Linked DNA regions of Arabidopsis thaliana. The protein of the gene in region 1 interacts with the protein of each later gene in a pairwise test. Each region holds a gene or a part of one and is shown on either strand. Other genes may lie near its edges.

Region 1 (5,455 bases):
CAATGTCAATGAGCATATATTCGAACTTTTAAAATGAAAAAAGAAAAAAAAGTTTATGCTCAAGGAATTCCTTTTTCGTTTGATCCGGTCTGGTCTATATTCAAATTTGGATTCGGTTCTATTCCCGGTTTAAACGTGGTATATCGTCGAATACCTTTATATTCCACATATATATGGATCCTACGTAGCACAAGTCAAAAGTCAATCTTCAAATGCTCGAGTACTTTATTTTCAGGCCTCAACTTTGTTGATGCTAAAACAAAATTGTGCTTGTATATATTTTTTACTCTGAAACTGGTCTTGTTGGAACAGTGAACATGGATTTGAAGGTGACGTTATACAAAACTTGGACAAGAGCTCACATCTTGAATTCCAAAAAAGAGACGATGTTATCATATTTGTCACAGGTGACTAAGATTTTGCTCTTGGCTCTGTACGTAGTAGCCACCTGATTAATTCATCAACTAGAGTTTGAGAGCACACAACTCCAATATGGACCACTAATGAAAAGTTCCTTAGCTCTTGAATTCTGGTTATAAAAGATCTTGTTGAATTTTGTGGGTTTCTCAGTTGGTTAATGACTTCAACACGCTTATGGAGCTCGATACAAGGAGAGAAGAACCATTGCTTCGATTCCGAGATCATAGTGTTGGATACTTAATAATCTTCACACAGTCATGTACAACACATAGAATCCAGAGATCAATAAGAGAATGGAGCGAACGTATTTTGATGGCTGTTGAGTTCAACTACAGCAAACTCTTGCTGTCTCTATACAACAAGAACCCGTAGTTTGCGCTGCGGTGGTCTACAAAATTATGTCATGGCTTGGCCGTTTTCGGAATGCTAAAGATTTGTCTAGTTCTGACGAAATTTGAGGTGGAAAGTGATGATGAAGCCACATGGACGGTCAAAATCGAAATGATTGAAATTTTTGTTTATAATACACGTTCTACGTTTCTTTCATTAGATTCTTTGATGAATTCATCAGTTTTTGTTCGTTTCATTCTTTTGTTCCTTTTGTCGTAATTTTAAACGGAATAATACTATGATTTTATGAACCTTATATAACAACTAAAAGTGTCCGAACAAGCCCTTATTGACGCACACACGTTTTTATGTCTACAAAATTCCGGATATATCAAGCAAGTATCATCAACACGTCTCCAACACTCATACACGGTCAAGCCGCCTACCTAACTCACCTTGTTACAAAACAATATCTTATGGCATGTGTTACACGATTTCAAATATGTATATGAATAATTTATAATTCTTAAATCTTCATATTACTGAAATTAACTCGTTTTAACAGATTGAATGAAAATATATATTATCCTTCATTTGTATTCGTTTTTTTTTTGGTCACAATGACAATAATTCTACTATAAGAATATCGAAATATATATGGAGAATTCCTTAAAGATTAGATAGACCTACCAATTAAAAGCTGCTGGTACCACTAAGTTTTAGTTCGAACATTTGTATTAAACCCAACTCTACTCTTTTCGCATTTTCCATCTAGAATAACATCTAAAATATGTCTATAATATATTTTTATGGAAATAGATAAATAATTCATAATTATTATATGGTGACAAATCAAATTAAAAGACGTTTTGAAACTTCTTTTTTGACTAAACGAGCTCACAGTTCTCTTTCTCATCACATCTCTATCATTAGAAAAAAATATTGTTAATAATGTACATGTTTTTTTTTCTTTTTTTGGGGTCAAATTTGGATTCACTCAAAATAGTTAAAACATAGAATCCCATGTATCAAAAAAGAAAAAAATAACACCTAACCCTATAAATAAAAGATTTTATACAATAAAGATCTTATGTTTTTTTATCAGAGAAAAACATGTCTTGTTTTTATAATTCTGACTTCTTAGTAACAAATCATGCATATATGAAATTCAACAAATTTGAACCCAAAAATAGAGAGGTGAAATATTAAATGACCAAAACAAATGATAAAATAATTCAGAGGACGTGTGAGGGAACAAGCCAGAAGCTACACTATCGAAAAGATCGCATCAATCTCAACCGTTGGATCTTTCCTTCATCATCATCTCTCTCTCTCTCTTTCTCTTCCATCTGACCTGTGATGTGAGTTTGCAGATATTCAAACAACTCAATCCTCATTCCCTTTGTTTCGCCTCTCTGGATTTCGAAGAGCTGAGAGATTAGGGTTTCTCGATTTTCGAGATTAGAGTCTAATCCCCACCACCAGCATAGCTGATATCCTGGAGGAGAGAATGACGGATTCGGGTCTAATGATGCCGGCGGAGATTGCTGGAATTCTAACCACGGCGATTACGAGTTGGTGGGATGATGTTAATGAGTCAACTCAGTGGCAAGATGGGATCTTTTTCGCTCTTTGTGGTGCTTATGCTCTTGTTTCCGCCGTTGCTCTTGTATGGCTTTCAAATTTCTTCGTAATACATGAAATTTTTTGTTTGGGAGTGAAATTAGTTTTCTAAAAATGCTTGCTTTTAGGTTTATAGATCAATTTCTTAGCGTGTTTGACATATCTTTCCTCTTCTGTTTAACAAAAGAGGTGACCTTTGTTGTTGAGACATCGTTTTCTATCTAAATCATTGAGCTTTGAAATACTTACTCATTGTATAGTTTGATTGATTGTTTCTGTAGTTTATTTCTGGGTTTAGTTAGTTGTGTTGCAATTTCTGACCTTTTGTTTGAAATGGGATTATGATTGGTAGGTTCAACTGATAAGGATCCAAATGAGAGTGCCTGAGTATGGTTGGACTACTCAGAAGGTGTTTCATCTTATGAACTTTGTCGTCAATGGAGGTGATTATTGTGTGTTTCTATTGACCAATTGATAGGGTTTTTGTGTTTGTCAGCACCTTTGGGATTATGTTTTGTTGAATTTCTCTGTTGTGTGTGTGCAGTTCGTGCGGTTCTGTTTGGATTTCACATGCAAGTATTTCTTGTTCATCCCAAGGTGAGAGTGTTCTCAACTTAGTTCTGGTTTTTGCATGTTTGATTTGGAAATGGTGGATTTTGAAAGCTGCATCTTTTTAAGTATCTAATGTTTCTGTGAGGTAATGCAGGCTCTTTGCTGGGTACTATTGGATCTTCCTGGCCTTCTCTTTTTCTCGGCATACACGCTGCTTGTGCTGTTCTGGGCAGAGATATATCACCAGGTACCTAAAAAGAAATTTTTGATGTGTGTTGACTGTCTTTTAAACCTGCCAACAAGCTCTGAGTATATATTTTGTTGCCACTAATGAGCAGGCTAGAAGCTTACCTACAGATAAGCTGCGGATAACCTATATTTCTGTCAACGTGGCTGTATATTTGGCTCAGGTTCATATCTGATTTTTAGCTTCTTTTTTTTTTAATTCCCGTTTATGTTGTAGTTGCTGAGTTTCCTGAGATCCATTTATATACATCTTTTGCAATTATTGGTGTTTCGAAACTGTAGATTGTGCGTGTTTCCTACCTTGTCCTTCTTTCATTAACTCTGTAACCATTCTTTGCTACCAAGAATCTGTGTGACCTTAGTCACTAGACATTTTAGGTGAATCAAAAGATGTAGAATAAGTTTGACATGTATTTGATGTCTCTATCAGATTGGTATCTGGGCATACATCTGGGTACATGATAACAGCACTGTGGAGTTAGTTGGAAAGATATTTATCGCAGGTAGGTTCTTTGTCTGGTCAAGCAAGTTTGCTAAAACCTTTACTGCTTAATCTATAATATTCCCTCTCTTATCTAAAATCTATATTGACCTATTCTTTTGGTTAATCTTCTTCTTCTAGTTGTGTCTTTCATCGCCGCATTAGGCTTCTTGCTGTATGGAGGAAGGTCTGTGTTTTTGTTATTTTCATATGTCTCATCATCAAAATGTCTGCAAGTTCTTCATTGGCTTTACTGGGCCGTCTTTTCTTATGTGTTTTTTTTTATGCCATAGATTGTTTTTCATGCTAAGAAGGTTCCCTATCGAGTCAAAAGGAAGAAGGAAGAAACTCCACGAGGTACTTAGATTCATATATCTGTATGTGAATAATTTGTCTTATATAGTTCCATAAAACTTTGAACCCAAACATTTCTACCTTCAAATATTCGTCTCTTTTCATTGCAGGTTGGATCTGTGACAGCTATATGCTTCACCTGCTTCCTCATAAGATGCGTTGTGGTAAGCTCAAAATTAAATCTTTAGCTTCCGTCATTGTTTTAGTTATCCTGTGATGTGTTATTTAATGTATTCCATGCAAACATCAGGTGGCTGTATCAGCTTTTGACAAGGATTTAACACTTGATGTTCTTGATCATCCGGTTCTGAACTTAATCTACTATATGGTAAGTAACACTACATCTTCATTCTTTCTCTTTCTTATTCTCATTCATTAACTCGAAAAAAAAAAAACTACAGGTGGTAGAAGTACTTCCATCGGCACTAGTCCTCTTCATTCTCCGAAAGCTACCTCCAAAGAGAGTATCAGCTCAATACCATCCGATCCAGTAGAAACCTTTGTCACTGAACCATCTCACACGGTGAGTATGATGCTGTTTAAGAGAAGAGTAAAGATTAAAAAAAAAATTGGGGCAAAAAATGAAAGGTGAAGAAGAAATCGGTGTGGAATCTGCGTGAGTTTTTGGAATGCACGTTCATATAAATGATTTTACAGCTTTTAGTTGTTGTAGCCCGCCGTGACTTTTGGTTTGGTAGTTTATGTCTGTTAAAATTATAAATTGCTCTTCTGCTACTTTGAAAAATCTGGTCAGTAGTACAAGAGGTTTAACATTTGTTGCGTCGATGGTTGATTGTTATGTTATGTTTGGTAAAAAATAAACGAATGCTCTTCTCCAGTTTCCTTTATGCTTTTGTCAACTGTTACATCTTCTTCTCCTAATGATTTGTATATACTTAAGCTTTTCCATAAAACTAAGTCCCAGTGAAGAAAGAAACTACGTAAACCGAGAAAACCAAGCAAAAAGAGGGTTTACACAACATAAAATGATTAAATTGAGAATCATTTGCATTACCTCGGTATTACATGGGCTGGAAATAACTTATTGGGCCTTGGACCTGATTTTCCAAAAATGGTCGCTCACATTAATATTTATATGTGATTTTACAGTGACAACTCCACAAATCAGCCCTAACTCTGTTTTTGTTTTCTTCGACGACTGAGGTCTTTTCTCTCTCGCTCTCGTCTTCCTCTTGATTCTCTTCTTCTTTTCTGGAGTTTCGCTGCTTTTTTAGCCTGTAAAAATGACGAAAATTTTGTATGAATTTGTGTGCTGATATGCTCGAATCCACATGTTACGCTTGTGTTGAATAATCATATCATTTGGTTATCGAATCAATTCTAGTTCCAATTTACAAAAATCTATCAAACTCTTTACGTTTTCTGGAGTATGTTGAGCTTGAAACTAGTGACATAGATGAAACATTAAAAAAACATGGAATTGTTAAG
Region 2 (4,960 bases), on another chromosome or scaffold:
ATCGCAAAGAATGTGTACAAAGATGGTTTTTCCACAGATTGGTCTGCTGTGGTGAATTACATATCTGATTCTCAGCCTGATTGCATCCAGAATTTCTTATCTAGGTACACATTCCAAGTCTCCATTCATTCAATCACGGTGAGGCGTCACGTTCAGCTTCAAACCTCATGCGACAGATAGACAAGACAATTAGAAACCAGCTATCGACAATCCAAAAGAAAGGGGAACTTCGACTCGAAAAGGGGCTGCAAGTATGGTTCGCCATGCGTCCTTAGCATCCTCCAAGAAAGAAGACTCTGTTTTTGCTCTCTCCATTCTATTTACTCTGTTTTTGTTCTAGTTCTGTTTTCTTTTATTATCAAAATCTCAAAAAAGCTGATGTAAAAAGTATATTTTTCTTTTGAATATAATTTGACATTTTATTCAAAAAAAAAAAAAAGGATCTATGAGCAGAGCAAACCTTATGCATCTTCTTCATACCCAACTTTCTCATATGGATGTTAAAGTTTCTAAAATAGCACTTAATCTGCATTATTATTGGCTAAAATGTAGAGCACGCGAAAATTCTGGGCGTGTAACATGAAGAAAGTGAATTTTTTATATATAATAAGAAACATAGGACTGGATCAGACTGGGAACCAAGATGAATATTCATAATGGTGAATCCTTACAAAAGACTACACAGACACAACAAATGAGTTTTGAGACCGTGACTAGGTTGATTAGAGATCTCAAATGCTAGAGTCATCATCAACCCAGAAACAAGAATCCTACTTTTACTGACACTCTTGATTGTTACACGCAGAAATAATAAAGACACAGGAAAAGAGAATTAACTGAACTCTTCAAGACTTTTAAAATGGACTCACATGATGGTGCATCGGCCCTTTTCTTCGTTTGGTTGCGCTGGCATTTGCTGGAACCGGTGTGACTCTGAGGGATTGTATGTGAACTCAGATGTGTCAAGCCCATACTGTTTCAAAAAAAAAAGCAATCAGTGAATCTCGGTATCGCACTAATGCTTTTTTTTAATTTCAGCACGTTATAATCTTGTTACCTTTTCCCTCATACGTGCACTCCAAGGGTCACTGCGGCTTGGGCGTTGGTCCAAAGTAGGAGCAACTGGGACACCAGTGACAGGGGCGGCTTGGCGGTTGATGAATGGCTGCCTGATTTGTTGCCTTGGAGCAAGATATTCATCATCACTGTCATACTCTGCTGGTGTATTAGCTGCCCTGACCATAAGGGCAAGCAAGAAGAGTAAAGCCTGCGAGTAAACAAGACATCATTAAGAGTTTTTAAAGATGACATGTTTCTATTGCCATACAACAGTCTACAAACACTTCCGCAGGGATATTTATCTTTCAAAGATAGTTTGTTCTTGATTTTCAATGATAGTCTGAACTTGTGCTTGCTATTACCTCGAAAACAACTGCTCCTAGAGCTACCCATCTTACAATCTTCCAGTTCTCTCTAAGGAAATTATATATCGTATCGAAGTTTCCAGTCCTGTCAGAAGGAAGTTCCTAGAGAACAATAATACAAAACGGTTAGCTAAGTACTTGTGCAGTCCTGTCTGCAGATCATGTCAAGTTATAAGGCAACATGAAGTCTAACCCAAGAGGGAAACAGACAAAAAAAGAAGATAACTCACATCTCTCCAGCTGTTATCGAAGAAAATAAATGCTGCGAATCCAAGCTCCACCAAGATCAACAAGATCAGAAGAAGAGAGTACTATTCTCAATTAAGGAAATGAAAGGTTAAGACTTTTAGTTTGCTTAAGGATCCTATCATAACTAAGCAAAGATACCAATAACCTGAGCATATAACTAAAGGTCAAGGCAGTATTTATCTAACAGGAAATGTTGGATAAGAAAAGCAAGTTAAGTAATTAGGATACGCAAGATAAGCAGCAGACACTCCTCGAACAAGTACCAACACAGCCACAGCAAGAAATAACAAAGAGAGCCACACCAATACCAATGAACAAGTATATGAACCTGCATGATAAAACAAAATCAAAGAACATAAGAACTAAAGAAGTGCAACAAACCAAGACTCTGTTTTTGAACCCAATATATAAAGTAAAAGACGATAATCACATACCACGCTTTGGGAAGATTGTCAAAGATATTAGAAGACAGTGACACAGCCATAAGAATAGGCCTCCCAAACGAAACGTAACTTTGATCTCCATTAGTCAAATCGAATGTAACAGAATTATCGGTAACTCTCTTGTACTCAACGAATAAATAGATACCATAACCAATCATGCCAAGTCCAGCAACAGCCAGGAGAAAGTTGAGTAACTTCAACAAACACTCCAAACAACCTCTACAAGCCATCTTTTTTTTGTTTTCACGACTTAGAACTGTTGTATGATTTACACTCAGCGTTTCCCTTTAATTCATCAGTCCAAAGAATTATCCTAAAAGAACAAAAAACTAAATTTCAATGAGTTCATAATAACAATCCCAAAGATAGATCAATGATAAAGATTCTATCTAAAATATCATCAAAACTAAGAAATGAATTTTGACTAAAAATCAAACTTCAATGAAATTGTGATGTCCTGCCCAAATTCAATTGCTATACACACGAATCAAGCCTCTCATAGAGCTGAGAATGAGAGATACACCAATTAATTTTCTCTAATCGACATAAAAAACGACCAAATCACAGAGATATCTCGTAATCTAAGAGAAATGATTCCACCAATTTTTTTTTCCGTGAACAAAATTACGAACGAATAAGTTCAGATCGGGAGAACAAAATCGAAATTACGCAATCGAAGCACGAGATTGAGAGAGTGGAAGAAGAAGATGATGGAAACTTACGGAGAATTGTTGAGAGATGATTCTTCGATGTTCGCGATGGTTTTGAGTTTTTTTGTGTTGTTGTTGTTCTTGTCGCCGAGAGGAAGGGGATGAAAAATCCAAGGATGGGAAAATATTTGTTTGGAATTTTGCTGTGTCATACAAATGCCAGCTGGCAATTTAAATTTGAAGATGAAGTGACAAGTCCAATGGGTAGATAGGCCATTTTAGTTTTTCAGGAGCCCAACTACGAATACGTGTGTCGTTGAATAATTTCAGTTTACAGATTCTTTATCCTTTCTGATTTCTGTCGGCAATTAAAATTAGTTTTGTGTGGAATGGAATGTACTACACATGTCTATATGTCCTAAAGACTCCAAGACATTACAAAATACAAAGCTTTAGTTTTATTTTTTTGAAGTTAAATTTACAAGCACTTTTAATATTTACGTATAAAATCTTTTCTGAAAATAATTGAAGATTTGTGTAGTCCGTTCGATTTGTTTACAAAAGGAAGCTATGATAGAGCGAAATTAACACGAAAATGAAAATGCTTTGTTCATCGCCTAAAAGGCAGCTTAAAGGATTTGTCTATCCTACGAAATTGTCACGAGCTTTCACGAACCAAGACTGTTCTGTGGGTTAAACAATATTTTTATCGAGAAAACGTATTTTGTATGTTTATGATCTGCGTTAAATATCTTATCAATTTTTTATTACCTTGTCCGTCAAAATATCCAAAAAATAATTTAGAAATTCGGTTTATAAAAATGTTGTTTTCAAAGTTTAATTGTTAGAATTGATAATCTCATAATGATCATTTCGAAAAACCAAAAAAATTATCACATTGTATGAAGGATTTTGACAAAATTTTATTCGGAAAATCACTCTCAACAACATAAATAAACAAAAAAAGTTTGTTTTATATAAAAAAAATCAGTATAAATAGGTAAATGGGATTACTTTACACACTAAAAAGTACCAATTTGAGTTAATACTAAGATTTTGGGTTGGACATTAATACATCAAAGTCACCGATTCTCATTTGAACAACTTCACTTCTCCGATCAACGATCAATAAACGTAACAATCACTCCGATGTTCCTAAAACACCAAAATGATAAAGCGTTAGCTCTCGAGATGAGAGAACTTAGTTATGAATTGTTTTTGGGTTTTTAGATTTTTACAAAAAATTAGTAGTCAGATTAGTAGTCGGAAAATCACTCTCAACAACATAAATAAACAAAAAAAGTTTGTTTTATATAAAAAAAATCAGTAGTCAGATTACTTTACACGCAGTCAGATTAGTAGTCGGAAAATCACTCTCAACAACATAAATAAACAAAAAAAGTTTGTTTTATATAAAAAAAATCAGTAGTCAGATTACTTTACACGCAGTCAGATTAGTAGTCGGAAAATCACTCTCAACAACATAAATAAACAAAAAAAGTTTGTTTTATATAAAAAAAATCAGTATAAATAGGTAAATGGGATTACTTTACACACTAAAAAGTACCAATTTGAGTTAATACTAAGATTTTGGGTTGGACATTAATACATCAAAGTCACCGATTCTCATTTGAACAACTTCACTTCTCCGATCAACGATCAATAAACGTAACAATCACTCCGATGTTCCTAAAACACCAAAATGATAAAGCGTTAGCTCTCGAGATGAGAGAACTTAGTTATGAATTGTTTTTGGGTTTTTAGATTTTTACAAAAAATTAGTAGTCAGATTAGTAGTCGGAAAATCACTCTCAACAACATAAATAAACAAAAAAAGTTTGTTTTATATAAAAAAAATCAGTAGTCAGATTACTTTACACGCAGTCAGATTAGTAGTCGGAAAATCACTCTCAACAACATAAATAAACAAAAAAAGTTTGTTTTATATAAAAAAAATCAGTATAAATAGGTAAATGGGATTACTTTACACACTAAAAAGTACCAATTTGAGTTAATACTAAGATTTTGGGTTGGACATTAATACATCAAAGTCACCGATTCTCATTTGAACAACTTCACTTCTCCGATCAACGATCAATAAACGTAACAATCACTCCGATGTTCCTAAAACACCAAAATGATAAAGCGTTAGCTCTCGAGATGAGAGAACTTAGTTATGAATTGTTTTTGGGTT

What was found. Proteins that work in one complex are often made in the same cells at the same time.
Region 2: the proteins of TOM1 (region 1) and TOM2A interact in a protein complementation assay, tested with the Arabidopsis thaliana proteins (one study listed by BioGRID).

What each region holds. Positions count from the first base shown.
Region 1 is NC_003075.7:11,567,664-11,573,118, forward strand, and holds TOM1 (tobamovirus multiplication 1), read left to right. Parts: upstream 1-1,860; 5' UTR 1,861-2,260; coding exon 2,261-2,419; intron 2,420-2,725; coding exon 2,726-2,816; intron 2,817-2,917; coding exon 2,918-2,970; intron 2,971-3,079; coding exon 3,080-3,172; intron 3,173-3,263; coding exon 3,264-3,335; intron 3,336-3,601; coding exon 3,602-3,674; intron 3,675-3,793; coding exon 3,794-3,839; intron 3,840-3,945; coding exon 3,946-4,009; intron 4,010-4,116; coding exon 4,117-4,170; intron 4,171-4,256; coding exon 4,257-4,334; intron 4,335-4,407; coding exon 4,408-4,500; 3' UTR 4,501-4,932; downstream 4,933-5,455.
Region 2 is NC_003070.9:11,688,528-11,693,487, forward strand, and holds TOM2A (tobamovirus multiplication 2A), read right to left. Parts: upstream 3,062-4,960; 5' UTR 2,839-3,061; exon of another isoform or gene 2,430-2,838; 5' UTR 2,347-2,429; coding exon 2,108-2,346; intron 2,002-2,107; coding exon 1,902-2,001; intron 1,736-1,901; coding exon 1,655-1,735; intron 1,527-1,654; coding exon 1,422-1,526; intron 1,268-1,421; coding exon 1,058-1,267; intron 974-1,057; coding exon 866-973; 3' UTR 537-865; downstream 1-536.